Neodiprion lecontei: one gene and its partners. The protein of the gene in region 1 purifies or fractionates together with the protein of each later gene. This does not show direct contact. Links are inferred from orthologs where the notes say so. Each region holds a gene or a part of one and is shown on either strand. Other genes may lie near its edges. The genes, in order: intraflagellar transport protein 140 homolog, WD repeat-containing protein 19 and intraflagellar transport protein 122 homolog.

What was found.
Region 2: the proteins of intraflagellar transport protein 140 homolog (region 1) and WD repeat-containing protein 19 purify together in Homo sapiens (co-immunoprecipitation; 3 studies listed by BioGRID and IntAct, with this or other methods). This does not show direct contact. The link is inferred for Neodiprion lecontei from reciprocal best matches to the Homo sapiens genes IFT140 and WDR19.
Region 3: the proteins of intraflagellar transport protein 140 homolog (region 1) and intraflagellar transport protein 122 homolog purify together in Homo sapiens (affinity purification with mass spectrometry; 4 studies listed by BioGRID and IntAct, counting the BioPlex papers as one, with this or other methods). This does not show direct contact. The link is inferred for Neodiprion lecontei from reciprocal best matches to the Homo sapiens genes IFT140 and IFT122.

What each region holds. Positions count from the first base shown.
Region 1 is NC_060261.1:8,580,571-8,590,639, reverse strand, and holds the start of intraflagellar transport protein 140 homolog, read right to left. Parts: upstream 6,622-10,069; 5' UTR 6,494-6,621; coding exon 6,200-6,493; intron 6,135-6,199; coding exon 5,728-6,134; intron 5,665-5,727; coding exon 5,469-5,664; intron 5,367-5,468; coding exon 5,133-5,366; intron 5,046-5,132; coding exon 4,833-5,045; intron 4,752-4,832; coding exon 4,563-4,751; intron 3,243-4,562; coding exon 2,995-3,242; intron 2,867-2,994; coding exon 2,548-2,866; intron 2,466-2,547; coding exon 2,249-2,465; intron 2,161-2,248; coding exon 1,293-2,160; intron 1,207-1,292; coding exon 1,068-1,206; intron 945-1,067; coding exon 453-944; intron 350-452; coding exon 63-349; intron 1-62. Other genes in the region: hexosaminidase D, read right to left, coding at 7,251-7,425, 7,548-7,634, 7,704-7,979, 8,111-8,306, 8,431-8,505, 8,704-9,052, 9,231-9,446, 9,758-9,812 and 1 more. UniProt on the Homo sapiens protein: Component of the IFT complex A (IFT-A), a complex required for retrograde ciliary transport and entry into cilia of G protein-coupled receptors (GPCRs).
Region 2 is NC_060265.1:8,946,713-8,956,653, forward strand, and holds the start of WD repeat-containing protein 19, read left to right. Parts: upstream 1-5,220; 5' UTR 5,221-5,431; coding exon 5,432-5,446; intron 5,447-5,980; coding exon 5,981-6,360; intron 6,361-6,530; coding exon 6,531-6,741; intron 6,742-7,071; coding exon 7,072-7,184; intron 7,185-7,294; coding exon 7,295-7,712; intron 7,713-8,020; coding exon 8,021-8,254; intron 8,255-8,321; coding exon 8,322-8,447; intron 8,448-8,564; coding exon 8,565-8,862; intron 8,863-9,493; coding exon 9,494-9,692; intron 9,693-9,771; coding exon 9,772-9,869; intron 9,870-9,941. UniProt on the Homo sapiens protein: As component of the IFT complex A (IFT-A), a complex required for retrograde ciliary transport and entry into cilia of G protein-coupled receptors (GPCRs), it is involved in cilia function and/or assembly.
Region 3 is NC_060261.1:2,454,734-2,467,893, reverse strand, and holds intraflagellar transport protein 122 homolog, read right to left. Parts: upstream 9,261-13,160; 5' UTR 8,882-9,260; coding exon 8,829-8,881; intron 8,578-8,828; coding exon 8,468-8,577; intron 8,327-8,467; coding exon 8,206-8,326; intron 8,118-8,205; coding exon 7,907-8,117; intron 7,843-7,906; coding exon 7,769-7,842; intron 7,691-7,768; coding exon 7,420-7,690; intron 7,343-7,419; coding exon 7,181-7,342; intron 7,101-7,180; coding exon 6,803-7,100; intron 6,716-6,802; coding exon 6,345-6,715; intron 6,255-6,344; coding exon 5,862-6,254; intron 5,771-5,861; coding exon 5,631-5,770; intron 5,562-5,630; coding exon 5,287-5,561; intron 5,214-5,286; coding exon 4,987-5,213; intron 4,903-4,986; coding exon 4,515-4,902; intron 4,346-4,514; coding exon 4,173-4,345; intron 4,071-4,172; coding exon 3,909-4,070; intron 3,796-3,908; coding exon 3,685-3,795; 3' UTR 3,654-3,684; downstream 1-3,653. Other genes in the region: prostaglandin E synthase 2, read left to right, coding at 1-92, 238-349, 446-808; uncharacterized protein LOC107221624, read right to left, coding at 1,117-1,229, 1,362-1,493, 1,558-1,710, 1,796-1,879, 1,960-2,082, 2,199-2,331, 2,410-2,540, 2,881-3,033 and 1 more; tRNA pseudouridine synthase A, read left to right, coding at 9,535-9,581, 9,724-9,837, 9,976-10,110, 10,213-10,362, 10,448-10,694, 10,804-11,022. UniProt on the Homo sapiens protein: As a component of the IFT complex A (IFT-A), a complex required for retrograde ciliary transport and entry into cilia of G protein-coupled receptors (GPCRs), it is required in ciliogenesis and ciliary protein trafficking.

The DNA of each region.
Region 1 (10,069 bases):
TAGGTTTATGAGTCGCAGTAAATACAATGTGCCAGTTGTTTCTAAATTCGACAAATACTCACTGGTCGTCTGAGTTAGACAAGTATGCCTGTAATTCTCTCGGCCTAGACAGAAGCATCCGCGGTACTTCAAATCTGTGACAATCTGCCTTTGTGTACATCTCTATTGCCTCTGATATCTTGCCTTCCTGTTCAAGAGCCTTTGCGTAATTGTAATAGCTTGTTTTCTCACGGATTTTGTTTTCCTTTATTGCCAGATCTATAGACTCCTCATACTTGTTACGTGCTTCTAACATAGAACACAAAAGATCCAATCTATTCGCATCTCGAAAAAGACGCTCTGCGTCTTCCTGAAAAATATATATGTTTATTTTTCTGAACTTAAGATCAATATATATTTTGTGGATGTATTTGTTCTGACCAATATTATGCATGAAAATTGTTCATTCTCACATATAAACCAAGCTGAACTGCCAATATGCCACATTTTGCGTCCAAGTTTAAATCGTCGTCTTGCATCGCTTCTCTCAAGGCTCTAGCTCCTCGGGCATGCTTCATATGGCCTAGGCAGAGTGAAGCCATATTCAGCTGTTTGGTTTTGACACACATTCTTGCCAGACTTTTCCAAATGGCTTCATTTTGAATTGTTTTGATCGCTTTGAAGGCTTCGTCCATGTTGGCTATACTTATATAGAAACTAAAATCTAGGATTGCTTTTTTTGTCACCGTATCACATACGCCAAGTTCTTCAAAATCGCGCATTACTATATAACGTACTTTACTCTCATTGTCAAATGTTACTTCTGAATTCAAAATCATTATATGCGGAGTGCGAACTCCCAACAATCTGCAGTTTTCATCTTTTATTGAACGTACATCTTGTACTACAATCCCATGATCTGATGTTGCAAACATTGTTATCAACACAACACTTGTTAATGGTTCCTGGAATCGATATAAATTGCGTTAACTTTACGTAAAATACAAATAACAAACTCGTAATTGTACTAAATAGGAAATTTTAGGATGACACAAATGTTTAACGAATCTTGAATACAGTAGTCGTACCTGAGCAGGGGTGGGTATTATTTGTGATGGAGGTCTTGAGTTCGCAGAATCCAACTTTTGTGCACGGCAAACTAAAAGTCTTGGATCATCATCGTCCCAACAATGAGAAGTCACTAATCGACCTTTGCACTGGATTGCTCTAAGAATAATTACAATAAAATAAGGTAGAAGCTTGAAAAAAAAGCGACTCAGCTCTCTTTGCTATAGTCAGGTGCGACAACTTACGTAGGAGATTCTTCATGCCCATCTTCGGGATCAGCAAAATTATATTCATAGATCTGATCGCTTTCGATATCCCAAACATAAAAAATCGAACTAGGCATTAAATTAGCCATTGCAACAGTGATTGAAACGCATCTGCAGTCAGAGTTGCACCTAGCTTCAATGATTTCGGCAAAATCATCAATCGCTTCAAAAACAGCTTTAGCCCTTGTGTACAATTTGGCTTCTCTCTTGCTCACGTCCCAAATTTTAAGAATCCCATTCAGTGAAGCAACTGTCAGATATCGGCTAGTTAGCTCCATTGTAATTGGTTCACCCTCTTCAGGGGATGTAGGCAGCGTTTGAGTTAGACTGCCTTCTATAGATCTCAGTTGAATGACGAGCGGCGTCAGCACAATTAGAGTACTTTCATAAATCAGTATTTTCTCCGTGTCGCAATTGAAGGATCCGACGAATGTAGTGGATATGGAATTTTCCCTGCTCAATTTATAAACGGCAATTTGTCTCCCAGAAGAAACGGCAACATAATCTTTATTCACCGCTACAACCTGTACCTGCAGGTCAGTTTTCAGAACACAATTTTGACCATGCGTTTCCAGCAGGATTTGCTTGGGTGCCAACTGGCTGGCGCATATATTATCATTGTAAGCAGCGCACATTGGCTGCTGTCGCAAAATGAAAACGTTCGTTATACAATTGACAACCAGAAGAGGATTTCTAAGTATTGTGGCACCCCACGCGAGCTGTTTTACTGTGCCATGAATTGTACAGGATTCTGGAATTGCTGGCCAGCCGTTATCCTCTGCATCTGAAGCATTTTTATGTTTCCAGAGATAAATTGTTCCCAAATTTGTACCAGCTGCTAGGGTTTCTGGAACAAGAATTGAGAATATAGGTCCAAGGAGACAAAGAATTACAAAAAAAATTTGTTATATTTATTAGTTCATTGAATTCAATACCATTATTTTTGCAGTACGATAGACTCGTGCAGATCTCTTGAGGCGTTGCAATGTTTCCATTACTGGTGTCTGGTGGTGATAAGACATAAGTATCTCCGGTATGGAGATCCCAGCATCTGATAGCTAGTTCCCCTGTTAATACAGCCAGAGTATTTGTACCTGCCCAACAAAGAGCAGGACCGGATCGAGACATGTCGGTCTTGCCACTTAGTTTCACCTGAAAGTTGTCAGTTTTTGAAAAATTTTACATCATTTGATAGCGAATAAATTTTGCTACGAGATGAAGAACGATTCCTTACTTTGGTGAGCTCGGTGAGGCGACCAGTGATAGGATCTGCTTGAAAATGCCCAATATTCAGCCCTTCCGTCATCATGACTACAGAGTCTCGCGATTGATGGTGTAGCAAACAATGCAAAGTAGCACCATCCGTGTTCAGTACTTCAATACATTGCCCTTGACTATCAACAAAATATACCACCCCATTCATAGTTCCGATGTAAAAAGCGTGATTATCTCTTTGCGTTGTAACTGCAATGGGAGCTGCCGTTCTTGGTCGCCAAGAACTAAAAAGATCTAACGCCCTTTCGTCACCAGCTACTGCTGCCTTCGCCAGGCCACTATAATATTATAATACCACAGTTATATTCGAGGTAAAGAGTACAGTCACTGCTTTCTTGAGATTACAAGAAACACTAGAAACAAAGTAAATATCTTCAACTTTATGGGAAATAATTGCGTTACATACTTAATATCAATAACTGGCTTCGATGGAACGACTTTGAACGCTATGTGAGTGAAAGAATCTTTTAATTCATGGTGAAACACCATTAGAAGCTGTCCTCTTGGGTCTATTTTCCATCCTATCAAAGAGCCAGCTGTATCAGCGGACACAAGTCGTCCACCATGCTGGCTCCACTCCAATATTGTAATAGGATCTCGATGTGGCGTGACGATAATGTTAAATTCATTCGCCCCAGAATCACCTGGCCAAACCTGAATAACAAGATGAGGGTTTATAATTATTTAAAGCATATTATACTACGGACTGCAATAATAATATTGGCTGGTTTATACCAACCCGAAGTTCCCCACTTTCCCATCCAGCAGCTAGCCAACGTCTATCATGATGCCACCCAATGGCGGTGACTTGGGCGACAGAGTGCGCGGGTGATTCTACATCCTGCAGAGGCTCGCCCAAGTCATCGTAAATTGTAACAAACCCTCCTTTGTCTTGCGAATAAGCAGCGACAGCTAACAGCGGATAGTTCGGATGCCATGCAGCGTATGTACTAATAGAAGCAGTCTCAGGATTTTGTACTCGAGTATCAAAATACAGCGACATTATGAAATGCTCTCCAATTTAATCGTGGCGTTTGAATTACCCAAATCGGCTCAAGGCAAACGAGGGTCTGAAATTATTTCAGTATCAGATGTAACACTAAATGTAAGCATTTTCGTGAAACTACGATAGGTTAGATCACAACCGGCGCCTAATATCGACTGATTCGGTCTAGAAGCTCTGATATCAATGACAAAATTTACGGTTTTTCAAACGTTCTAAGCTCGCTTTGGTTGTTTCTCGATAACGAATTCATAGCAAAATCAATTGTGTATCGATCGTTTGACATTTCGTGTAAACAAACACTTGACGTAGAAATAGTTAGTCAAGTTTTGTTACAATTGAGCACGTATACGGGATTAAAATTCGTTAATTATTCAACAGATCGACAGATTTATTTAGCAGTTTTTTTTTTCTTAAACCAAGAGTTCCCTCGGTTCTTTTTTACTTGATTTTTCTAGAATTCTACTAGTTTCCTATTTGATCGAAAACGCGCATGGCGGATTTTCACTGCAAGGAAGAAAATTTGGGTCATTTGGGTCACCTAACTGTCAACAAGCGATTCATTTAGAATGCATCATACATTTCCCAAAATAAAGAACATTCAACTTATTTAGTTATATGTATTTTAACAAAAATTGCAAATAGTAAATTCTTATTTATGTATGTTGAAGTTTAATTTTTTCCAACCTTTTGAAATATCTTTATATTCATTTACTCGGTGTCGAATTTCAATTTCAGTTAAAATATAGCATTTCGTTTATTATAAAATGTTGATAAGAATTTCACGATACAAACAAATTTACCTTCAAAAATGAATTACAATATCAACCGACGACATTTAAAGTACTTAGGTAAAACACGCGGGCTCTGATTCTAGCACCCTCATTTTCTGAAAGGAATCATAAATTTTCGTAAGCAAACAGGAGAATATATTATTTTATACAAGCGTGAAAATCACTATTACATTTTACCTTGAGATAATTTTGCCTTTGGTTGCCAGCACTCGCATCTGCGGCAGCCAACAGTGATCTGTAACGTTCTTCCAAGCTTTCAACTAGACTGTCTAGCTCGCACTGTTTTTCCGAACTCAGTGACATCGATAATTCACTACGCTGACCCTGGAGTTGTAGCTGCAAGGCTTTAACTTCGTTTTCTTTATCCTGATATGCAAATAATTGTGTAGGCAACTTGTAAAAAATATCTCAAAAGAGGGTAAAATGTATTTCGGAAATAATATGCACCTTTAAAATATGATAAATGCGCTTCTCATATTCATGGCTCATTCGTTCTTTAGTTTTTTCCAATTTTAAAATGCCTTTTTTTAAACTGGCCACTTTATTGATAAGGTTTTGATTCTGCTTTTGATTCGCCGCTTCCATATTTGCCCTCATTTTATTAAATTCGCGCTGGATTGTTGAGCACTGCTCAGTAACAATAGCTTTCAATTTAGCTTCCTGTGAAAAAATACGGTCATTGTGCGGCGTTATTGAAACATAAGAAACGTATGATTCAGATAAAAAATTCATGAACTGCGAACATACTTCATCTTTTTTTGCCTCCAAGTTCTTCTGTAGCCCATCAATCTCCGTTTTCAGTTTTTCAATTTCAGCATTTTTATTTAACTCAATCAATGCCAATTCTTCCTCTTTCCGACTGATCACTGTATCTTTCTTTTGCAGTTCCTCATCCTTCTGTTTGATTAAGTGTTCGTGCTGCTGTCGTGCAGCTTCCAATTTTTCAGAGCAACTACTTTCTACTGCACACAGTTCTTCATCCTTTGATTCAAACATCATGTATACATTGTAGATTTTGAAATAGAACTAGAAATTCTGTTAGCTTGTCACTACTTGCCAACAAAGAGTAATACGCAGTCGTACCTTTGCCCTAGTAATTTTTTCCAAATTGGCAGTCAGCTCAACAATATTATTTTCCAAGGTACTATTCTTACATTGGAATTCTTGCAGTTGCATATTCAACTCTGTAATTTTTTCATCCATACTTTGCTTACATTGCAGGAGGGCTTCCTCATTGCTTGCCTCAAGAGAATCCTTCATTTTTTTTACTTCCATTAGTCTAGAGATGAGAAAATTGATGATTCATATTAGACATAGCTTATTACCGGATTTTGTTACCCACTTGGCTTTCAACGTTCCAATTTCTGCCGATAATTGTTTGATAGTAGCGTGAAGGTGAGGCACTTCCTTTGCAGTAGAATTTTGTTGCAAACGATTTAGTTCTTGATTTAAACGTTCATTTTGTATCTGCAGTTCTTTCACAATAGTGGTCAAGGTCTCTATCCTTTGTTCGTAAATTGCGATTTGATTTTTGTCCGCTTTACTTCCCTCGTAGCATCGAGATGCACTGATATTCTTTGTGATGTGACCGCAACGACCAGTACTGGTCGAATCAGTGTCACGTTTTTGGTTTGGTATTTTACTCCTGGTGAACTGGCATTGAATGCTCTTTGCATAATTCTTTGGCCATCCGCAATATGGGATTGTGCTCGCATCTGATAACTCGCTCCACGAGGAACTTCCGTGTACCTAAATTTCGTTCAAATATTCTTTGTCACACTCTGTTTTAAACCACTTCACTTCAGATACTGTACCATTGGAGTATACGATCTCCTTAACACTGGCAGAGGTCCATTTGGCGGCGGTTGGCTAAACATCCCACCTACATGTCCAGATTCCACTTGACAGCATAGTTCCATCAGATACTCATTCCTGAGTGCACGTTGCGTGGAGGCATAGCTCAGTTTATCCAACCAAAGCCGGCAGAGCTGCACATCTTCAGGCGCTGTGAGGGCTAAAATGTAAGGTCTAACTCGAGCCAAAGAATCCTTGAACTGCTCATCCAGCTTGAGTGCCTCCTGTTCATCGCGTTCCCTTGGTCTGGACATTTCTAATACCTAATACTCCATAAAACATATAAATGTACTCCAAATGATAGGCACTTTTAATTACATTATTTTATCAAATGCTTGAATTAAGCTTAAACTTTCTGAATTCATTTAATTTCTCCAATTTATACATTTTCATATTTTATTGTGTGTTTTCTTGACAGCTAATAAATTAATGTATGAGTATATGAATGTATACATGAATGTATGTATGTATGTACATACATTCGATATTGTCATTGTTTTTCGTATAACCATTACGATATGAAATTAACAGACTAGAATTGAGTTAGTTCACCGAGTATTTGCTACAAGTTTGTGGGCATTTTCGAAAGATTGATCTAAAATTTGACAGACACATCAAAGGATATAAAAAGATTTTAGAAGTTCGAAAGTCTGCCTACTTTTATTCCAGAAAAATATGCAGGTCTAAGATTGACGATATAATTTTGACACCCTTGCATATCGAAATACTGTGCTATCGTTTGTTTATGATTATGTTCAGCAAACTCGGTGGCATATTTCTTAATTACAAATCCAGTTTATTACCCCTCTCATAATTACATGGCACGTTTAATACTTATAATATATCACGTTCAAGCATTGATTCGGCCAGTTTTAATTAATTCTGTACAACTTATTAGCCGCTAAAATTCATTGAATGAATTTGATATTTGGTTGTCTTTTTACTTTGAAGCACCTCAAGTGATTGTGTTGCCCAATTCCAATAAAATTCGTCAAGAGGTACAATTAATCTTCACACCCTGCAGCCGTGTTTCAACTGATTCTCTGCATCTTGTTTTAGTTGTTTCAATCTATTCTTCAGGGGATAAATATGTGTACCAGTCCATTCTTCCAGGGTCGGTTGAAACAAAATAACTTCCATTTGAACTCGGATATAGCCCTCCAGCGATGATAATTCCAACAACAAACTGAAATTTTATGAAAACATAGAGAACTAATACGTCACATCCAAAATACATTGAGTGCTTTCGATTGAACTTAACACCAGTTGGAAAATGTGCACTAAAATACTTAGGCAAACAATACTGACTCGCTCAAAGCCGTCACCAAACTCCCCAATTGCATAGGATTTGTATAGTTGTTTGCAATTTGCCAAGGATTCATCCATGTTGCTATTCTGTTGAGGAATTGGCATATTTTTAGAACAGACCTTGATAATGTACAAGTACAAATATTCTGCCCTTACTGATCGCTATCAACGACATGGTGAAACTTGGTTCTGAAGTTAAGGAACCATTCGATTCCTACTGCAAGCTGCCATCCAGGGAATAACAATTTGTTTGGTATGGGAGCTGGTCGCTGTTGCGGCACTATGTGGAGTGGATGGTCTACATAGCCCAAGCTTTTAGCTACTTCTAGGTGTCTTTCTTCGGAATATCCGTGCAGCCAGACTTTTAAGCACATCACCAGAGATGGTATTGCTGTTGGCAGGAGCTCGCACATTGTGGCATAGTGATCATATCTGAAATACATTACACAGACTGTTCAGCATAATTTTAACTATAGTCTTGGTGGTGAACAAGTAAAGAAAAACAATCGACTGATATTATTCATATATATAGGTGATAATAAAATAAGCAAAACGGCACATGCCTCGACCATCCGGTGAATGCAGTTCCACGGAATTCACAAACTTTGTTGACATGAGTACTCAACTCTTCTAACCATCGTTCGTGGTTACTTATATGATGTTGAATCACGGGTATGTGTTGACAGGATCCGGTAGCACCTTTAAAAGCTGTTGCAGCCCAGATATTTGAAAATATAACACTATATTTGTCCCATAAACCTGAAAGTTGATTACATAAGTGTCTGTGTAATGCTTACAATGTTATTTAACTCACAATAAATAGATTCAAAACATTCAGGAAATTTGCTATCGGCTCTACATACATCATTCGAAAAGTACTAACCTACTGGCAAACAAAAAGTCTCTCTGGAATTATAATGCCATATCATTGGTTCAACATATTTTCCAATATAATGTTCTGAAATGATAAAAGTATATTAAGTAGAGGATATTACACATTGTCTATGCTAAACACAAGATAAACTCAAAGCATGCTAATGATTCTGTAATAGAAGGTTCTGTATTGATGATAATTGGCTTAAAATTTTTCTCATGACGTTGAATACTAACAAACTAGGTAAATAAAGTAGTATTTATATCTTAGATACGTACGCACCATTTAAGACCTGTACGTCTATGTTTCTCAACATATCGTCCCAAATGATAACTTTTAAATACGGATATGTCTCTTGTATATGTTGCGCGACAGCTAAAACATGTTCCAAGAATAACGCGGACTTCCCATGTTTGCTGGAAGTGGCTCTTTTTATACAGACTGAACATAACCCCATGTGCCAGACCTCGTCAGCTCCTATATGCAAATATTGTATGTCAGGATGAAAGGACACTATTTGACGTATCAAAGACTTCACCAGCGGTAATGTAGCTGGGTTTGAAGGACACATCGAACTTGGAAACAGCTCAACTTCTCGTAACGATCGCCACTCATCATGCTTCAATACAAACTGGAAAAGAATATTTTTCAATTGTGCTTATAGTTGAGGCGTAATTAAATTTACACACGGTTGACATATTGTTCAGTTTTTTGAGCCGTAGTTGTTGAATGTTCAGAGCCAATGGCAAAGTAAATATAAAATATTCATACGAATTTTATTACTATGAAATTTTTAAGTACAGCTTTACCTCCATGTGGCCGAAAGTTTGAACCAACGGCACAACTGCTAGCCCAGATTCTCCTGCGATTTGCAATATTTGTCGTGCTTCTTGCATTGTATAGCCGTTGGCTATGCTGTTTGGGCCATTGCTTCCTATTTGAGTCAATTCTCGGTTGTAAGGGAAGGTATCTTCCCATTCTAGCAGCAGTCCTGTAGCACCCCATGATCGCAGCAGCGGAAACAACTGACAAAATAAGAAACGAGTGGATAATATCGCCTCTAGGTTAGATGCAACGATAAATATAAGACGATTATGCGATCATATGTGTAATTAAATTTTTCTCAGTTTTAGTTTCACCCAAAATGAAATATGAGAAAGATGTTTTGTTTAATGAATTAAATCAGCTCAGAGTGCTGGTTGACTTTGCCTTTTACTGGGCAGAATGCGAAAAAAAAGAACAAAGACCTCCTTTTGACAGCTGTCAAAATTAGAAGACGTAAACAAACAAATGCTGCGCATATGTAGGGTATCTGTATATTTCTTGCAATACAGACCTTTTCAAGGTAAGATACTCGGGGTGGAGCGCCCTTGAGGTCAAGGTGAACAAGTCTGAAACATAAGGCTCATAATAATGCAACGAATCATGAATTATCTATGAAATAACTTGCGAAACATTGGATCTATGCCAGAGTTATGTTTACCTGTGCGAACCAAAAGTCAGGGCGTCCATCTTTGAAACATTCGTATCATCATGGAATTATTTTGCAGTCCTTTACTCTGTCCGCATAGTTAAACCAATCATCAAATTTTTACGCGTGTCAGCATAATTATCAAATTTCGTTTTATTCCTGTTCATTTCGCGGCTC
Region 2 (9,941 bases), on another chromosome or scaffold:
GAAAAGTTTACAAACTTTTTGAAAATATCGCAACCAACATGCGCAATTTTAATATTCAATACACTGGTGCAATATTATAATTATAATTTATGTATCAATCATATTAATTATCAGACTCTCTAAAAATCTAGCACACCAGGAAAAGTTCAGACTTTCTAAAACACCTCGTAACAACCCTGACTGTCAAGTGCATTATGTAATTACCTACTCATCACTGAGACTTGATTTGTTCTATTTCATAAGGGTAGCATGTATATTATTTGCTAAGAAAAATCATAAATACTGATCAGCTATTCTCGGTTCTTTTCACTATAAAAAATTATTCACTTTCAATGAGATATAAGAATTTTAACTTGGGCCAAATGATAAGAACTACTAAATAATTTTCAGACCACTTACTCGCCCTAATTACAAATTTTAATCTGTGATTTAATTATCAGGTATAACGCTGGCACAATACTCAATTCATGTGTTCTTCACAAGATGATATTATCAATGTCAGTGAAAATAACCATTCCCAGTTCAAAAGCTTCCCCCAGTTTATTCTTGCAGTAAGCAATGTGTGAATACATCTTTCCAGTAGACAAATACTGCGCGTTACTCATTTCAACTCAAAATACAATAACGTAAAGTCATTGCTAACATGCTGCAAATACGAATTAGAAAATATTCTACACAGCCCATTTCTTAATATGAAGCGACAGATAATTTAAATGTCACACGTGATTATTACATATTTGAAAAACTCTTTCTTTCCTTCATCTACATACCCAAATATTTTACATGCACCATGGTACATCTACAGTAGTTCGTGTAGTTTTAAATAGTTAGACTTTGAATTTACCTGTGCTTCATCCAAAAGAATATCATGTATCAATAAATGAATTGTGCACAACTCAATGGAATAGTAACAATGGCTTTGTTTTAACATAGTTACGAGAATTACACTACGTTATACATGGCATACTTAACTGTTACTAGGTATAAAAAACTCGGTGAAAAAAATGTGCTTTGAGGTAATATTGTTTTCACCTCTGGATGCAAATACACTACGTTTATACTGAGTAGGCAAGCTTTGTTTCCAAAGCAAAAACAATTCTCAGTACCCCGTACACTTTTATAGTCCTAAGGTTTTGACCAAAAGGAAGTGATGATCTCTTTACTGACTGAAACTGCTTTAGAGCAGCTAAGTTTTCAATCATTAAACTGCTACATTTTTTTTCTGGAGTAAAAAACAGGATGGAAGTAACTATTTGACACAAGTAGACGGATCATTTTCTTTTTTCTTTTTATATGTGTATTAAAAAATAAGCGCATAAAAATATACTGTGCATAATTGTAGCAGTTACCTGTCGATAATCGTTCATATCGTGTTTTCTCTAATACAAAGATCAATGCAGAGATTGTTTTTTTTATAATTAGCTGGCAGGGACATGAACTCTTGAAATAGGATATCTCATGAAATCTCAAACAATCGTTCGGAACATTGATAGTCACGTGTTAATCTATAATGAAATAGCTTTCAAGTATATAATTTTCAGTTCACTTTTGGATATGCAGTCTTCAATAGGTTTGAAAAGGAAAGTGTCAAACCATTTAATTAGACAAAAAATCGCAACTAATGAAATGACCACGTCAAAATTTTTATACAAATGAATAGCGTGCACATAACAACCTACCTTTGCACAACCAACTGTAGATTATTAAGATTAACGCAATTCCATCAATTTTCGTTATATCGATTTTCAATTTAGATTTCCTGTGTCTCGAATTACTCTTCCTCTTAGAGATAACACGATTGTTTAGAAATGGCTCCAAATAAATTACAGTAATAGTAGGAATAGTTTACAACCCGATACTTGATGTGAAAATCCTAAATTTTTACTCTGCGCAGTTATTCCAAACAATATGAAAAAAGACACAGAAAAAAAAAATAAATAATGATAAGTAATATTATTATATAACTAAGCAATTTAAAGTATTGTAGATTTTTACCAGCAAATCTGTAGCTTGCAGTAGTTTCTGAATTGAGTGGCCTTCATTTTTGAAAAAAAAAAAAAACAAAAAAATAACATTTAACAGTAAAAAAAAGTGTATCAAATAAACTGAGAAGTTAACTCTTAAGTGAAAACCATGCAGAGTTCACATATTGTTAGAGTCAAGACATTTTTAATACTTTAATGTGAGTTGTATGAAAAATTTAGGTGGTTCCGTTTTATTTTGTTGTCTAATGTTCTTTTTTTTTCTTAGTTAATTAGCCAGCAGACTATAATTCACTTCAAATATTGCTAAACTGACCATTGGTGCCATATTAATCAATATTAACTATACTCTATATCTGATAAATATATAGTTTCTAATAATTTTCCATAGCAGTTGTATTCTGTTGGGGTGCCATAGTTAGTACACGTCATATTTTGTTCTTTCTCAAGTCTAACTTACATGGAACGAAGTTGGCGAAACTTTCACAATATAAAACACGAAGTTAAATGTTAATTTATGAAAATTTGAATAAATAGGTGGTTGGCAGGAAGCTAGAATCAGAACCACGGGTGAGTGTAAATATCTATCTCGTATATTTACTTTATAACTGCTGTTATTGCACCATTTTTTAGCACTCCTGTAATTTCTATGTTTGAAATGAGTGAAACGAGATAGATGAAAAAATCGACCAAGGAATGAAATACACTTGCTATAATACCCAAAAAATTATATATGTACAAAATTCAATTTTGATACAGTGAATCTGCCAACTGCCAAGATATTAAGCATGCATCGAGTTATTTGACCCTGATTGCATGGATTTGAATTATATTTTAGACGAAATAAATTTGTAAATACGAAAGAATCTCATGTATTTAAAAAGGATTATTTTATTTTCCAGCAAAGTGCTTACTACGTTAAGTTAAGTTTTCTTTGCACGAGCTTAATTGTCGCTGTTTCAGCGTTAAACTATACAGTGACAAAGTGAATAATTATTTAATAAAATTAATATATATATATGTATATATGTGTATATATTAATATATATATATATATATATATATATACACATACATACTATATTTATTGAATAAATGCGTGATGGTAGCCTGAACTCAAAATTCTGAATTGGAATCAAATCGAAGTTTTGAAACTGTTTCAATTTTACCACAAGTTTCTAAATACGCAGGGTAGAATTGTTTTTGTTAGTTCAAAGATAGTGTGATCGACTTGAAGTAATATTGAAACAAAGCTGAAAACGGCATCAGAATTTTGTAGCCTCAGGTTCCATTGCAATATACTTAGGTATGTATTCTTAATATGTGAAAAAGTGTCTCACTGTATTTGTATCATAGATCACAATGTTAGGGTTGTCATTTCATGGTCACCGCGCAAATTATAATATCCATATAAAACTCTATAAGATGGTATCTCACCATACGATTTTAGTATATAATTTTTTATTTCTTTTAGTTAACCAAAGATGTTATACATTACTCTCTGTAATTGATCATGAATCATTGTACTGTACTGATATATTGTGTGCAATCATAATTTGTGAAACATTATAATTTTTACTTCGCTGGATGAAATCAATAAAAAATCCGCATTAGATACTCAATTTCTAAGATATTCCTGTTCCAATATCGAGTTTGGATTATGCGTGAAGATAAATTATTGAAATAATAAAACTACAATAATTCCATCTCTCATGTGATATGAAATAAAACAAATAATTGCAAAACGGGAAAACGTACTTTCGGATCAAAAGGTACCAGTGTGTCTGTCGATGATACCAATTCTAACGATAATTAGAGTATGCACTTGGACCTATTTCTACTCAGAAGTTATCTTCATAGTCTGTATACCAATTTGTTGAGAGTATTTACTATCCCTTCAGCTTTGAGTAACATGTAGAATTATTAATTGTTGCATAAACGCGTTGCATATTGTATATCAAGTATTTACTGCCGTATTATTGAATAATATCAAAATTGTGTATTGCATTCATTTGTAACATGTAGACACGATCAATAACAAATTCAAATGATAATATACCTAATTATTGTACCTATAGATGATTTTCTTCTTTCACAAACTCACTATCAATAAGTGATTGAATTAAATCATATAATAAAAGTACGATCGAGAAGTCAAAAGTACGTAGAATAAAATTAAGCCTTCCCCTTTCATCGAATCCTCATTATCACTGAATTATCGAGTAATCAACATATTTGAGCAATAGTATGTAATCCAATGTGCTAAAATAGCAATTCATCAGTGTTCAATAGAAAGGATGATCTATAAGTCTTGCATTATAGGAAAAATATGATCACAATCGCATATCATTGATAAAGGGAAAATTTAACGACCGTTTCAAATGTATATATCATATATTGTGAGAACTGAAAGTATAATTGCATTACAATCCACCCTAAGATGGAACATGATGGACATTGTCAAAAAAGTGCTGAAATTTAACAGCAAATGTTTGAAAGAATAATATTTCTGTAAAGTTCCAGCAATACCATAATAAAAGTCGTATCTGAAACGCTCATCGATGTCAGCCCTCTCTAAAAATGGGTTCTTACTAAAATTCAAACAAATTTAGTCATTCTCAAAGAATAATGTCTTCATGAGATTTTGGCAAAAGTTTCAAGATCGTTCAAAGAAATAACTAATCTGCACAGAACATCTTGAACAAAAATTCATTTAAAACTGTTTATTTGCACAATCCGTACATGAAATTAAACGAATTAAAAAAATTCTAGATTTTTAGCAAGGTTTCAGGCCAAATATCTATTTCGAAAACCGTTTGTTTCGAATGTGGCCGTGCTGAATCAAATACATTCGAATGAGATTAAATGAGATGCCAGATGTTAGTGCTACTTGGCGTAAATACGAAATCTCTTTACGGCGTTCCGAAGGCGTGATCTAGGACCCTATATTCTATAGTCACATACATTCATCATAAAATTATTTTATTTTGTTAAATATTAATGTATTCGTGTAATCTTCAGCAGCAGTTTTGATTTTCCACATGCAAACGTCAAACTTTCGTGAATACTGTCTGTTAGATCGCCGCCATTATTGTTTACCTCATCCTCACCGACGCATGAGGTCCCTGGCGGATTTCCGTCGTACTAAGACATAATAACCACAGAGCTCAACACCGGACCACCTCTTATTCTTACACCGTGGCAGAAACACACCTATACAGTTTCACACGCTAGTTTAAATCTCGATCTCCCTGTTTGCGGCCTTGCATGCGACGCGTCCAAACGCGATACGTAATAAACAACATGGAGATTGTAGTGACATTCAGTTTGAAAATGTGTCAAATAAATCGATATCAGTGTAATGAGTTGATGCTAACATAAACAATCATGACTTCTGTCCCATGTATTAGTTATTAGTAAAGATTCAAGTTGTTTGCCATTTTGCAAGAATGGCATCAGATAAGGTAGGTTATGAATTAATGTCAAACATCAAACTATTACGTTACTTAATTAAAACTAAAGCTCAACAATACGCTTCAAGCAGATAATGAAGAGCTTCATTTATATACATTTTAATTACAAATTCTCACCCCTGTGCTGTTACCTAAACATTTCTTGATGAGGTAAAATATGTTTTTTAAAATCACCTGAATATTGTGTTTTTTTTCTTAATCCATCGATTGTCAAGTATAGATGTTTGCAAATTGAAAATTAACTGTAAAATTAGCACCTGAGTTTTTAATGCTTTCTATATCTAGTCACTATTTTTCCACCAAAGTTCCAAATTTTTATTCTCATATCAGTTCTCTTACTTGAGTTTTACGTGTACACAACTCACTTTAGTTTACACTAGCTTTGTGTGTGTCCGCAAATCGTGATATCTATTTTTGCTTTCGAGTTCGTAAACAAAATTTATGTATATTGGCGACATCTCACAGTAAAACAGTTCTTTCTCATCTCTGCGTATTGTGAATTGAATCGATTACTTCTGTGCACAGGTTTTATACCGCTTGGACCAACCGCATGGTCCTGGAAACGTGTACATTGCTTGGCGCCCTGGCAACGGTACATATTTAGCTACAACTGGTTGCGATTCCGCAGTTGTGATATACAACCGCCAAGGGGAAATACAAGACCGTATTCAACTACCTGGTTTATGTACGGGCATGGGTTGGGATGCCGACGGAGATTTATTGGCTATGATTTCAAACGGATCATCTGCTATTACCTTGTGGGATGCAACGACAGGAAAAAAATCCCAAATAGACACGGGACTAAGAGATAGTTTAACTTGCATGATTTGGTCGAAAAAGAACTGCACTCTTGCAGTGGGTACGCAAAAAGGAAACCTAGCGCTTTACGATCATATTAATGCTAAGTGCGTGACCTTTTCTACATAAAATAGAACAGTCATTATCAGTATATAGATAGCTTTCCAATTATATTGCACACCCTCGATGATTTAAAACTTTATGGATAGGAAAACATTCTCTCATTTCCAATTTATATTGATAAGATGTTACAGATATATCAAATTTTCTTTTTCAGACGCATTCCTATTCTAGGTAAGCACAAAAAGAAAATTGTTTGCGGCGCTTGGTCATTGGAGGGCCTCCTTGCTTTGGCAAGTGAAGATAAGGTATTATCGATCAGTACGTGCGAAGGTGATACACGTAGGGAAATAACAATACAAGGAGAGCCATCCGACCTTCAATTTAGTGAAATGAAAATGGACCAGAGAATCGGCGGTGAAAACACAGTATGCTATCTATTTGATATACAATTTCAAAGAAATTATTAGTTAAAAAAGACTCGATTTTATATTAGAATGCTTTTATCACAACCTGATCCCTTTATAAGATTCGTGTCTCTCAAATCTATTTAAGAAACTGTGAAATTTAGTTTATTCTTGGGGTACAGAAGGTGGGTGATTTGTAATTCAATTGTTGAATCATATCTTCAGTTATTGATAAAAAAAATCAGGTGAAAATTGCTCATAGCAGTAAAATTAATTGATGTATGTATGATATTGGTAAAACGAGCAATTAAAAGTACGAAGCAATTAATAATCAACCGTATTATTTAACAGGTATCGCTCGTCGTCAGCAAAACTACATTATTTTTATACAATGTTTTGGATCCAGACAATCCCATTGAATTGGCGTTTCAAAAGCGCTATGGTCAAATCGTAACTCACAAGTGGTGAGTTCATTATGAAAAATGCATACGTTACTACAATATATCTGGTATTTGATCACAGAAAACGAAAAAATTTAATATCTATATCGCGTATTTTATAAAATGTGAATCAGGTATGGCGATGGTTACATATTGGTTGGTTTCGAGGCTGGCTTTCTAATAGCAATATCAACGCATATCAAAGAAGTTGGACAAGAGTTATTTCAAATCAAAAATCATCGAGATTCTTTAAATGATATTGCACTGAACAATATCGCTGGAAAACTTGTAACATGTGGCGACAATACGTTGAAAGTACACAGTATACAAAATTTAGAAGAAACCAATAAAGTGATAACTTTGGCAGGAGAGACAGGCATCAGTCACGTGGAATGGTCATCCGATGGTAGTATGTTAGCCGCCGCGACGCACAATGGAAACATTTTAATTTATTTATTGCAATTACCAAAAATAACCAGCGTATGTGGAAATAGAATTGCCATTTTAACAAGCCTGACTGAAGTGGTTGTACATTTATATATGCTTGATAAGGTACGTAAACTGTGTGCAAATAATATGGTTAATAATTGGGTGCAAAAATAAGCTGAAAAATATATTAACAATGACAAAAAAAGGGATTCAATCCAATTATTTGTACAATTTTATGTTAAGTACCAAAGTTGATTGGGTAAGATTAGGATGTTTTAAAAAGAAATTACACACCTGTAGCTCCCCATCTGGTATTTCATATCCAGTTTGTATCAGTATAACCATGCTTAAAATAAATGTGACGTTACGAAATATTCATAGATATATTATTATCCGAATATGGAAATAATGACACAAATGAATATTTTCAGAGTAAACCAACACCGCAGACAATCAATACCCTGATAGAACCATCTGTAATGGCTGTCGGTCCTTTGCATTTAGCAGCAGCTTTGAATAACAGAGTATTATTTTGGAATTTAACAAAATTCAATTATGATCACCCTGTACATTTTGAAAGGGATTACTTAGGGACAGTCGAGAGTATATGCCTGAATCAAACTTTTGTTTCCGTTCTGTTTGATGGAAAGCTTCAATTACACACTGTGAGTTTACATTGTGTATGCAAAATGTAAGAGATAAAGAATTAAAATCTTGGCGGTTTTATTTCAGATAGAAACGGAACAGGACTCGGCAAACGGTGCAACTGAATCAAAAATATTTCCACAAACTAACACTTTGGATTCTAAAATAACGTGCCATGCTTTGTCGCCCGACTTTTTAGTTTACGGAAATGATGTAAGACTTTATAGAAGACTCAAATATAAATGCGTAATTTTACATACTCAATAAACCATATTTTTCGAGTTTTTCAAAAATCGATTCGATCTACTAATTAAATGACATGTTTTACAGATGGGACGGATAGTATATTTCTACTTGGAGGCGTTTGATCAATCTAGCGAAGTCACACACAATAGTGGGATCAAACAAATTTATCTAGATGCGAATGGAACACAGCTGTCTTTTGTAGATGAAAAATATGATGCATATGTTTACGATCCGATAAACGAAAACATTATTCAAATACCAGAATGTCCAGACTCAATAGAAGGCATTATATGGGATCAAAATATTTTTGAGCGTGGCGTATTCGCAGTATACAATCAATCCATTATCGTCACTTATATTTTTGTGAAATATCATATAGAAGGTATGCATAATTATTAAAATGGTTGACACCAGCCATGAAGATGTCAGAGCGTAAAAGAGTGCCTCAGGGACATGGTTTAGCACTTGCAGTGAAGTTGAGAGTAGCGGCAAGCAATTCACACAAGTTCAACAACAACGTGACACATTGAAAACTATTGTATTTAGTTTGGTATGGTGAAGCGATACCTTTACAGGTTTTACAATAGGAACAGGAACGAAAATATGTAAACTGTTTTTCAAATTCAAATTCGGAAAATATTTAACGTATAGCCTGAGACCTTTTAAATTCGTTGAAAAGAAATTATATCCCTTTATAGAATTCAAGTTTTTAATGTCTGCAGTCGTTTCAACTTTTTCTAGATCTAGAAACTGCAAAGGTACAAAAACACCTGATCCATTCTTACTGTCATTGCAATGCAGCTATTTAGTCTGGTTTCTCGTTTTTTAAGTTTCGAAAATCAATTTTGCGATATTCTTCGAATTGCTCAACCCACCATCAACTCTGTTAGGCAAAGTTCGACTAACTTGACTATTGAAAATTTCGATTGAGAGATTAACTAGCACTCTCCCTATTCACTTGTTCCAAGTTTGCAAAATAACAATATTATACGAACAACGTTATTATTTTTCAGGAAGCAAAGTAGTGAAAGTCTCTCAAACAAAATTACCTGTGGAAACTTTACCAATGCTGATGTATTCTGGTGAAGTAACATTAAGTACAGCTGGTAGTAGATTAACGCAACTAACGTTATCATCACACGAAGAAATCGGTAATATTGTTGATACGAAAAGAATAGAAGAAATTTTAGCAAATCACCTCGCATGTAGAAGGTTTGCATTGTACATCTATATATCTATTCTCGAGTTTTTAGAACCTTCACAGCGAAGTGACTATTCTTTTTTTGAGTAGGTTCAAACATGCCTGGGACGCATGTGTCAAATTGAATGATCGTGAATGCTGGCAATCTTTGGGAACAAGTGCATTGTCTAATTTGAACATAGAATTTGGTGAGCTCAAGTCATATTTATATTCACATAGAGCCTTATTTTGTAGCAAATCAACAAATTATTTTGTATATT
Region 3 (13,160 bases), about 6.1 Mb from region 1:
GCAAAAGGAACGTTCAAAGAAGAAATTGTCAATAAATACTTCCTGATGTATCAAAACAATCTGCCAAAGGAAAAGTCTATGAATTATATCGTGTGCGTACATTTGAAAAATAACATCTTATATCTAATCTTTTCCTGATCATTATTGTCATCGCTTCGAATATTTTCGCTTTTCATGCAGAATAAAACTGTCTCATTTTCCAAATACAGTATTTTGCTTTTTTCTGTTCAATGATAGAGAGGAACGGAAGTGGCGAAAATGGGCTGATGATGTCCTAGTTCACGTTTTATCTCCAAACGTTTACAGAACAACAACAGAAGCACGTCAAGCGTTCAACTGGTTTTCCGACGTAAGTAAAAACTGTTGTGCGATCACTACGCTCTGTGAAAATAATCTTTGTGTAGGTTAAAGTTACCGAATGATAAACCATGAGCAAAACCAACAGGTTGGTAGATGGGAGGAGTACTTTCCAATGTGGGAACGCCTGCTCATGATCAATGTGGGAGCCTATGCAATGTGGCTGATATCGAAAAGGCTCAAAAAAAGACACAGTCTCAAAGATGACGTTAGGCAGTCACTGTATGACGAAGTAAACCATTGGTTGAATGGCATTAGTGTTAAAGGAACGCAATTCATGGGTGGATCAGACCCAGATTTCTCAGACTTAGCTGTCTACGGTATTTTAAAAAGTATCGAGGGATGTGAAGCATTCAGAGATTTATTAGACCACACAAAAGTTGGCGTATGGTTTAATGCTATGCGTGAAAAAATTGATTCGAATCACGGACGACAATATGTCAAGTATTAAATTGTCATTATTATAAATTCACAAGTGTATGTATTTACTTATTTGTTAATTAATAAATATTAATTATAGTATAAACATATGGGGTCAAGCTTTGTACCAATCACAAACTAAAAATGAGATGGCCATTGCTCATTAGATGTAATTGTTATTCACTATAGATAAATTAAGTACATCACATTTATTCACAATATTGGACTGTGTCTAGAGAAAATTAGCCACCCTAAAAAATTTATCTTTGAACACGGTCCAACTAACAAAGGAATGCATTAAACACTTTCATATTAGGCATTAAATATGGTTGCTTTGGTTTAGAATATTGGACAAGCTATTTGTTGATAGTCTAGAATAAATCCTCTGTTTAGAACATCACCAGTTTCATCTCCGTTTGTAATGACGTAAAGAACAAACGGTTTTGAAGAACCTATAAAAAAAAAAGCGCTCTTATGAGTATCAATATAGCAAAAAATCTTTATTTCGTAACCAATCCTTTAATAGTATGAATTGACGAAAATGCGACATTCTATTCTACCATAATTTGGGTGACGATACTTACTGATAACAGTTACGAAACCGTTTCCACAGAAACGATCAACATCTAATGCGGTACCTGTTGTATCAAATGGATTTGGTATTATAACAAAATCTGCCGTACAATCTGTTCCAGTAACTGCAGCCAAGTCTGTCCCTGTTGAATGATGAAAGTTGAAGTTACTGCGTTGTGTACAGATTTTTTCTTTTGAAAAACTTACCAATTATTGTTGTGTCAAGACCGTCTGTATCTCCAGAAACAGTGAATGACAGGGTGTTGTCCTGTGACCATTGAATCGCACAATAGCCCACAGTCATTCTCACACAAACACCGTAATTCAAATTCACTAGTTGACGAGTACCGACCAGTGGAGCTGAAATTTTGAAGTGTTAAAAATCGCTGATTTTACAGTGAACGAGAATTATTTCAATAACGAAATAGTATGATATTTTACTTACATCTTGGATTCACTACGGTACCGTAATTGAAGCTTGTTACAGTGCCAGTAGTTGTAGTATAATATTGCAGACATCCACTCGGAGCTGAAATGAAATGTATGTAATAATGCTCAACTATTTTCATGTGATTTGAAAAGAATATTGGCAAATACTGTGATACGTACCACGCCATACAGAATCGCAGGCTATCTGCTGTATCCTGATATTCCAACGGCGATCAAATACGTAGTTCACGTCAGTATCGATCGATATCGTAATAGGAGCTGGTCCATCGAAATCTACATAAACTGTAGACAGAATAATAAATATTTTAGTATCTAGCTTAAGTATGCATATTTTTCGAATTTTTGCACGTGATAAATGTCAAATAAAGACTCAACATTTTTTTCACATTAAACTATACCGTGTTGATTGGTATTTTCTCCACAAATCCTGGGAACGAGGGTTGCTCCACCAGTTACTGTCAAAAAGTCTAAGTCACACACACCAGTTCCGTCTGGTTGGGCTAGGGAGAAATCCAAGAAATCCAAACGCAACTATGTGCAGTAGAAACCATTGTTTAAATATCTGAGATGATAAGGTCATTAAAGTTTTTGCAATGCATTCCTGCTCACCTGACAAATATGAGAATTGCAGGGACGAACGACAATTGTGCATCGATCTCCACCAGTATACGTTGTTGGATAATCGGGATTTATGAAATACGTATTGTTCATGTTCGTAGTAGAACCGCATGTTCTCACAACTGTGAAACGATATTATTTAATTTAAAAATGGGGAATTTCATCAAGAATCATAAGAGAAGCGAAGCATCTGTGGTATATGAAGAAAGCGCCAAAATCATTTTTTTATAGAATTTCTTTGCTCTAAACATTTATTAAAGTCAAAAGTTAACATCTTATCCTTCTGTCTACTTTTATTAAACTCATTATCGAAATATTAACGTACAATCTGCTACGAATATCACCCTAGGACAGATGCACAACACTTGATTGATTTAAAAAATTTCAGAGCACTTTTTCACGCTTTTGTCTAATCCAATCTGACGGATAGTGATCAGTTAAGGAATTTATTGTTATACTTACAAACACAACAAACGCCGAGGTTGTTGGCACAAGTCCCAGAAGCAGTCCCGGCGTAATTGGAACATTCACGTCTTGTAAAGCACGTACCATTCAGATTATTGCTTCCAGTACATTGAGTATTAGCAAATCTGATGACACTGAAGAGCGGAAAAACTATACGAAACAATAAAATAACGTGAATACATTAGTATCGACGTGATTGTATCACTTTTTGGGGTAAAATTATCCCTGAGAGATGAAACTCAACTATGTAATGATCGAACTTACATTTTCCTTGACGCTCCAATGGAGCATCTTGAAATGTCGTTGCATCTCCCAGGGATTGATCCCAGGCAGCACTCTGACCAGATGCTATCGTTGCGACGGCAAAAATCACTGCAAGCAACACGCTGAACATCTTTACAGTTCCGTACAACTGATTGAAAAGGTAGGATATCACTCGCCACTATGAGATCTCGGTAACGGAGTGCTGTTTACTTAGCTGTTGGAGCAATTATCATGTGCTTGATAATTTCCAACAACTGTAATTTCTTTCTTGGATAACTGTGACTATACTTATTTTACCGCTAGGTATACGTTTACTTATTCATTCTATAACTATTACTGAATTTTTCAATACTATGATATATTACTGTGAACTGGTCATTGACGTTATCAAACAATAAATAGCGTGATATGCATAATTGTTTAAAATTTATAACAACAAAGGGAGCTGAAATTAATTTGCTAACAGTCGATAAATAAATAGATTGATCATTTCTTTATTCCTATGAGGTGTGACTTGTTTTCTATAGATATTCCTTTTCACGTTGCGTGTCTTGTAATTTGTTCTGCTCTAGGTAACTGTGAACTTCTACAGAACGGACAGTGGCCGTGACGCAATATTGCCAATTCGTAGTCATCTGAATGGAATAACTGAAAAATCATAAACACACTTCTCGTTATATTAATTACAATACTTCTTCAAAGCATCTTTAGTGGCTCGTAAGAATTCGGGCACTAACAAATAAGCCCCAAGTTAACGGTACCTTTAAACATGATTTGCACAAAGTTATTTGAAGATCCGGCAAAAGATTTCTGAAATATCTGGTCTTGAAGGGTTTTGGCCAGTGTGCAATTAGTACGCTGGACGGTTCTATACTTGCTAAAACACCTCGACCAACGGTAATTCTTGATTCGCCTGTCTTATCCTGCGAACATTGAAAATTTGTGTAATATTTCTGAAAAATAATTGCAGCTACGAACGACAAGAGAGTATATATATAAATTGTTTGTAGAATTGTGATATATACCTCGTATCGTATCAAGCGAGCTGTAAACAGGTCGCCAACGGGCGTAGGTATGGTGAGTTGATTATCACTGATCAAAGAACTATCAGAGAGAGGTCTTGGCTCTTCGATTAATCTTTTGGCTTCTTCGTCAGTGATTCCTTCTTCCAACTCAAATTCAACTATAGGTAATATTTCTGGATAGGCAAGAGGTATTCACATTAAATAAGAAGAATATTGCGCTGACGGAATGAATATACAAAATAATAATCGACGATTTCTAGTGGAATTGGTCTCTCTGTTTATTTCCCCCATCTACAGTTTGAAAGTATTTACGAATAAAGTATCCTTTTGACTTGAACTTACCAAACATGACGAATGAATGCTGAAATTTAAGTCCGCACTGAACACATTTATTTCCAAAAATGTTGTTGGAAGGTAGAAGTGAATTGAAGGTAGAACAGCGGTAGCAAAGAGGTAGGAGTTCTTCAGGATCGCTGTAAGGATAAGCCCTAGCTGCCAAAGTTGAGACCTCCACTTGCGATAATAGACTTGCAGGAATTTTCATACCCCGTAATCGCTCAAAGAGCTGTGTTACCAATTTATGGGCACCGAGAATACGCGCTTGCTTAATCAGTGTATAAGTTATGGTGAACTGTGATACTCCTTCGACTTGTATATCTTGAGTTTTCATTAGCAAAAATCGAGATATATTGAACAAAGCCTCCGGCATCAATGAGGTGAATGGTTCTTCCTGAAACATGAAGGTATAACATTGTAAGAAGACATCCTACGATTATTGTACTGATTAGTCATCAACAAATGAATTACAACTCACCAAATATTTGTAAACTTCGTTATATGCGTAGTAAATATCAGCTTTATCATAATATATTTGAAAAGTTGCCATTATTTCGTCGGTACGCTTGCTCAAATCGAGGCTGAGTTGTGAAAGGATCCAATAGAAGTACGAAGCATCGCGGAATCTTTTTTCAGCCACAGCATTTTTGGCTAACAGTGTGAGAACAGATATCGATTCCTCAGGTTGACCAGCCATTTGAAATGCTGCCCATATAAAATCAGTTGAAATATTTAATTATTAACGAGAAATCAAACAGAGAACAATTTCGTATCGTACCTTCTTGAGCTTCAGAAAAACGACCAGTTTCAGCTAACCATCTTGCATATGGTCCATATACGCGAGATTTTAGTTTTGGATTTCTTTCCGCCAGTTCGAACGCCTCAGGCCATGCTTGTGCGTCTATCAAAACATCAGCGACGTCAGGATCATCTCCTAATCGACTGAATATTTCAGCAGCGCCATGCGTCGCGCCTAACTGTCTCAGTTTTTTAGCTATCATAGACAAACTGTCTCTCTCGGCCTTATCCAGTTGTCTTCCAACTTTGATGAGCCTGAATTGTTAAGATCAATGTATAAGAAAAGAAAATTGTTGGACTTTAAATTAGGCAGCTAATACACACATGTCGATCCAACCATATTCAGCAATGATATTAATGGCTCGTTGAACATCTCCAGCAGTGAGGAACATTTCTGCAGCTGCTCGAGGTTCTCCCAAACTTTTTGCCCACTCAGCTCTTCGCCTCAGTAAAATTGTTCGGTCCTGAGATGTAGACATAAGATCATTGGCTAAAATTCCTAAATTTTGTAAAATGAGATTAGAGCAAAAAAAATTAAAATTGTCTTTCATGTACCTGAGTGTTACCACTGGTGATAAATTCTTGAGCTATATCAAACATTCTCAAATCTGAATACATATTAAGAGCGTATTGTTGAAGTCCAGCTTTCTGATACAGTCTTGCAGCTTCTCGAAGTTTTCCCATTGCCGCGGCCGCAGTAGCCATGCAAGCTTCTCGACCCCATTCCCCAGAATTCAATTTTTCCTCAACTTCAGAAACGATATCGATATAACGTAATTTTTTAATACGCGAAAACGCCGCGTATGCTACGTTCAGTTCTAAGTGATCCAGAGCAGCAGTCCCCAAAGCGAGCCAATCACCTTCAGCTACGCCTAAACAAGCTATTGCAAAAGCTTCTTTAAACATTCCTCTTTCTAGGTACTGATACATAGATGATGACATTGGTACCTGAAATTCATTGTCATCTTTAGTCACTGTTACTAGTTTAGCCTAACAAGTTAAAAAGAGGTTTTGCGAGTTACATATTTGGAACCATACCTCTACCGTCAGTATCGCCGCTCCGTTTAAACAGTACAACTTGGACCCATTATGCCCAACAACAAAGCCGGAAAATTTTTGTTTGTATTCGTTAAAATCAGCGACTTTTACAGCCAAGTAATCGTTCCCTGAGTAGCACATCATATCCTCAAACACGGAATTGAATGCAACGCTTGTAACATCTTGGATTTCTCGTAATATTTCTTCTGTATTTAGATCAAACACCGTAAGCAAACCCGTGTCGCTTACTACGGCTAACTTTTCTTTGAGTGGGCTAATATCTAGACAGTGTATAGCACCTTCAACTTTTGCCAGCTGAGCTGGAAACGGATTGTCGAGATATATCTTTGAAACGTATCCGGTTTTCAATCCTGAAATATAATATTGACAAGTTTATTATTCATTATTAATTACTGTTAGGCTAATATCAATCTGGTAAGCGTAAAAATGAATTCAACCTGCAATGATGCATTCTTGACCTGATGGACCACCGGCGACTTTTATATAGGTAATAACGCCATCGAGAATCCACTCTCTTTCAATAATACCAGTAAAAGTTAGGCTCTGCAGTCGTTTGTCTAGGCACAGTACCAAATGGTTTGTGGTTACAACTAACAAATTGCAATTCAAGGACTGAGGAAGTTTGTCCCTGATGCGATAGTGCATTCCCTCGCTGTTTCCCGAAGGTTCATATATGATCACTCGTTCAGGTAATTGCACAGCGAGTCTATCTCGATAAACTGCAATTCTACAGACCTGAAATAACAATCGTGCAATTTCATTCGATCCAGGTTGGAGACGTAGGAATAATGAAAAAAACTTGAAGTACGGCTTACCAAATCTTTGCACTTAATTCGAACTTTTTGATTTGTAACCAGGTGCTGGATTATAACATCAGTCATATTTTCTCGATATGCATATCGGTCTCCGTACAAGCCGTGAACAGTATTCCAGGACAATTGAGAATACGTTATTGTTCCATCTTGACAACCAATGGCCTGGGACACAAAAGATGTTAGCCACTGTAAATCTATTTGCAAATTTCAATGGGATTGAGAAATAGAATTGAACGCACGACGTGTGAGGATCCTGGATGAACGGCGCAACTCCATACCCAGGATGAAAAAGTATCACCAATCGAAGCCAGCTGAATGCCGTCATGGGTCATTAATAAACAGCGTTTATTGCTGCCAGCTACAAGAATGTATTGTCCGTCAGGAAAGTAGGCTACATTCAGTGGAATGAAATTCAGCGACCTGTCCCTGCTCACTGTTTTTCCAGCCAGAGTGTAGAAGGAAAGACCGCCGCCCCAATCAGCGACGCATAACACGTCCACAGAATCGTCCCTGTTGTCGGTAAAAATAAAATTGACACTTCCAATGATTCTTTAGTGAGAAGAATGTTCCAGAAATATTTCAGCTTACTTCAATGGGCTCCAAGACAAACTCCAGATTGGCGTTCCCCCTGCACGATCAATTCGAGTCTTTTCTTCTCCGTTCTGGAAACAATCTTTCAACATTATTACGTTTCAATTAAAAATCTGAGATAATTAATGGACGAACCTTATTTCTGATAGAAACATATCCCAGCGCAAGTCCAATGGCCAAGTACTGTCCATCCTTTGTCCAAGCACAGCAATTTACTCTTCCTCCAGACTTCAGCTTCTGCACAGCCTTCTGTTCAGTGGACCAAAATGCGATGTCGGAAAGTGCACAGCTGAGCAACTGGTGCGAGACAGGATTAAATTGCATCGCTTGAACAGCTTCACTATGGCTAAAAAATTTGCTTTGCATTATTCATTGGCACATACAAAGGCTTACGTAAAAACGAACCGGCGTAAAAAGCTTTAGTAATGTCTTACGAGTATTTTAATATTCCTTCGAGCTTGGAAGTCCATATAATAACGCTTTTGTCTGCACTACCAGACGCAAACTTCTTTCCATCTCTCGCGTAGCAAACGCAATAGACGACATCTTTGTGTCCTAAAATGTAGATTTGAATTAATCGTGATTTGTAATCTAGTTTAGTTGACTAATTAAAATGCTGCACAATCTGGTATAATAGTGGAAAAGGAAGGGCATGATCTGTGTTATATTGAGCAATAAATTATAGGGATAATATACCTTTGAGTGGTTGTACAAGCGCACCATCATTGGTTTCGTAGACAAGGACTTGACTGCCAGCAGCGACTATTAATTGGGTTCCATCTGGGTTGAAGCAGAGATCATAGATGCTGAAATAAATTTGGGAACAATCAATTCAATAATGAGGATTAAGAAAGAAGAAGGAAAAACTGTTTATGAATGCGTTTGCATGTGGAAAATACTATGCAAACTTTGGTTTTCATTTGAATGCTGTATACACAAGAGTATGCATACAGATTAAACAAACTTTGCATATAACAGTGAAATACTGAGATACCTCATAATTGTTTGTTCAATTGTTTGCCGTGTATATAAATTTATGCTGTTATTGATCACTTACCATTGGTCTGTTTTATCTTGAACTTTATCAACCCATGTAGGATGAGATCTCATTTTAATAACTTCAGTGTAATAAAAAGGATGCCTCTATTCTCTAATTCGTTCACTAGCAATGAATTTAGCAGCCTATTGTCATTGTAATTTAGGTTCAAGAACCGTTAACCACTTGAGTCTACCCAAATGCATATATACATTGCTATTTACGTCTAATAAGCGCACGCTACTGGGTCGAATCAGTAGTTTGTTTTGATTTTTGACACTTCGCAAATTAAACCGGTTACCGGGGCAACGTGATCCAGATTTCTGTGGCGTTCTAACCTCACTCTACAATACTAGTCTCAAAGTCTCAACATTTATGAGGTTGAACTTAGTAACGTTGCTTTAACGATGCATGTTTACTTCGCACCCTTAGGATTGACTGAAATTCAGCTATTAAATCATAACAAATAAAATATGTTCATATACTGAAAAGTCAACTCCTTGAAAGTCGTTCTAAAATTGTACTACGATTTATTCCATGATGTTTTTTTACGTTAACGTTACTAACTTCAGACCTGTCAACATTTATGGACTCAACCTTAACCTAACAGAAATTAGTCGGGTTAGGTTAGGAAATTTCACGTGCCACATGCCGAATTCTACAAATACGACGCCTTCTCAGCTTACTCGATTATTAATATCACTTAGCACTGATTTAGCTGTAAGAAATGAAAAGATACTTATTATACATGAATTATATTGGCACCCACTTCAGGTACGCGTCTTTTATACAAGATTTAGTATATTTTGTTGTATATTACAGTCTTGCTTTATACTAATATTATAACAGTAGGTAAAATTTAGTCGAACCTAATTAATTTGTTTAATTTTCACACAATATACATGAACAATTGCAGTGGAATGCAAAGACAAGAGTCCATACGCACAATTCAAGGCACTATTGAAGAAGCATTGGCCGACTCCATTAAACCCCGAAGTCTATCTGAACCAATTCTTCAAGTTTCCAGCAGGTTTTAATTGCTGCTTATATGTTGTAAACATATTCATAATATGAGTATTAAAGAAATCGATGGGGCGGTTGAAAATTGAGTATAATCGAACACGGCTCAAGAATTTCCTAATTTTTACACCCACTGCAATTCTCACAGAACCGATAGCGGCGTTCATGCTCTGTCAACAACAGCCCACATCGACTTGATTCATCCAAAGAACGAGTCATACAATACGCAATATATGAAGCACAGACTAAATAAGACTTTTGCTAAGAATGGTCATGCGATCAGGTCAGTGTATTTATTAACTGTTATGCAAATCTTGGTCAACATTGTATCGATCTAAAATTTATTTACCTGTTTCAAAGACACGTATCAAATTTAACGACCCAGAATCACTTCCTGTTACCAAGTCAGCACAGACTTTCATGCCAGACATTCAGCCAAGTCTCGATCATATTTGTATCGTCTCATGGTTCCTAAGAAAGAATGTTATCAGGATATACCAGTCAGTGAGCTGTATCGATGTTTTGCACTTCTTGGGTACGCAACTATAACAGATTTTTATCCAAAAATTACTTATCAGTAAATTTCAGCTGTATAATAAAATACTATTGTCCGTTTTCAGTAATACTGGTCCCTTCGATGCGGAACGAGTAAAAAGGGGAACTCAGCTTTTCCTCGGACCTAAAGATTTTCAAACATTTGCTGGAAAAATAAAGAACAAGTATCAAAATAAAAAGGTTGTTTATGTCCGGCAACTTGATTACTTCACTGTGGAGAAGGGTCAGCCTTTAATGATTGATGATCCCCTTTCCACACAGTTCGATTACTGGGATTTCAGGTGTGGGGGTAGAGCTTTTCTTTATAATCAGGTAATGATCATCATTTGTATGGGTCAGACAATCGAACACTACGTTCCCCTATCTTGTCCTATTTTCATAATAATAATTAATATGGCTCTTTCAATATTTAACTTGGCAGGTTCGTCGAATGGTCGGAACCCTGATCACACTAGGACTAGGAAAAATTACGGAAAGAGATATTAGGTGTATGTTACAAGTTCCGTCACGTCATAACTGGGACTCGCGTGTTCAAGTATTGCCACCGTACGCTCTCTATTTATGCGAGGTAGGCTACGACCCGTTGGACTTAAAAAAGAATATTATTTGCGAAGATCAATCATCTGTAGCTGTTAATTAACTGAACATCATTTTACGTAGTGATAGTCGATATTTTACATTTTTTACCTAAATAATAAAAAATTTAAATAGCAGTTAACAATCACTAATTCTTAAAAGTGGTGATAGTTACGTTGCTGCTGTTTAATTAATCCTCCGTCATGAGTCTGAGCTCCCTTTTAACAGCTAAGAAAAAGGAGCTAAAACACTGTAATACTGTAGTAACTAACATGCTGGGTGAAAAGTACGAAATTTTAGGAAGCGAGATGAGATTAGTAGACAAAGGACTACCATTCATCGTTGATACAAAACCCGATCTACAAATGGCTATGGTGGAGCCTGGTTTATACTTTGGCTCTCAAGATCCAGCAGCTGATATAAATATATTAGAAAACCATGGGATACGGCACATTATAAGTATTGGTATAAAGCTGGAAATTGTATTTAAAGATATTCATTATTACTTTATAGATTTGATGGATATTCCGGAAGCTAAAATTTCAGAGGCATTAAAAACCTGCCTGAGAATAATGCGTGAAAAAGGAGGTCAGGGCGTTTTTATACACTGTAACGCGGGTGTATCTCGATCAGCTTCCGTTGTGATAGGTTATTTAATGGTTAAAAAAAATCTATCATACGATCAAGCTTATCAGGAGGTGAAATCTGTTAGGGAATGCATAAGGCCAAATGACGGATTTGTCAAGCAATTGAAAGTTTTGGAATTCTCTGATTTTACATCATTGTTGTAGCGAGTGGTAAATAATGTGGATATTCTCTTACAAGTCTAAATTTGCTGTAACTATAGAAAGAAACAATGCATGAATTTTCGTAATTATTGTATTATTGAAATATGCTGTGTTTGTACAGCCAAAAATAGTCGATATTATTAATACACATTAAACGCAAATGGATTCACAAAACTTGAGCATTTGTTAAACAAAAATATTATCCAATCCAGAAATCTCTTAAGAACAGAAAAAAAATCAACACAAGTCACCGTTCTCCGCACGTAATATTTATCAAAATTGAATGAATTTCGTATGTTTATTACCACGCCTTTTTTCGGCTATATGCTACATAATTCACTTTTAATATTTGCAGACTTTTCTAATTTCACTTGGACGGTTTGTTTCTTTATGTCACACACGCCTATCGTTTGTATATTAAATATCAAATGTAAATTCAGTAAGAATAAAACGACCAAATTATGCGACAGAATCTGAATAGTACCTTCCTATTGTGAATTTCAAAGCAAAGCGCTTCGCGCGGAAATCAAGCCTCGTCCTCGTGTTTATCGAATTGCCGTCGCCCTTAGGACCAGGCGCATGTATGTCTACCTATAGGTATTGGTCTGAAACCAAATCTTACTTCTTGTTTATTAAAAAAAAAAGTAATTTTTCATTCATAGCTGCCTATATAATGATTGGCTAAAAATTAAATGAGCCATTTTATTAATTGAATGTGTATGTATAGTACGTATGTATGTATGCAATATTTATACGTATATATAGTTAATATATGCATTATGCATTGATAAAACGTGCATTAATTAAGATTGTTGATTCCAAGTAGACTTTTTATAAAAGTTGCTGAAAATCTGAAAAATATAGTAGTAAAAATTTCAGTGTGCTGTGTTTGGTAATTCTTTAATCGATGATTATTAGCTGTCATTTTTTTTTTGCTCGTCTCTTGACAGTGGTATATATGCAATATTCATCTGGTTACACATGGTTAATCATACAATGATTATTATCAATATCATATACATAAACCTAATATTCACATTCCTCCAACAATTGAAAATGAGCTGTCTTTGAAGAAAGTAGACAAGGCACTTGAACCGAATAGTTTTCTTAACTAGTTGGCCTCATACATTGGTATATGTGATTTTGCATATCATACACCAAAGTTGAATGTTATTGTTGTTGTTGTTGTAAAACAAAATTGAATAAATAAAAATTCACACACTGAACAGTATCGTATACTCTATTTGAATGTAGAGTAATTACTTATTTGTTAACAACGCCAGTTACAACCGGACACATCTTGTTATAATAGTTAGTTTGGGTTGTCAATCAATTACTAAATTGAAAGGTCTTATAAAGATTATGTTCCCAAAGCAGTTTTCGTATTTTTAAAGTGATCCGTATTGGAGAAAAT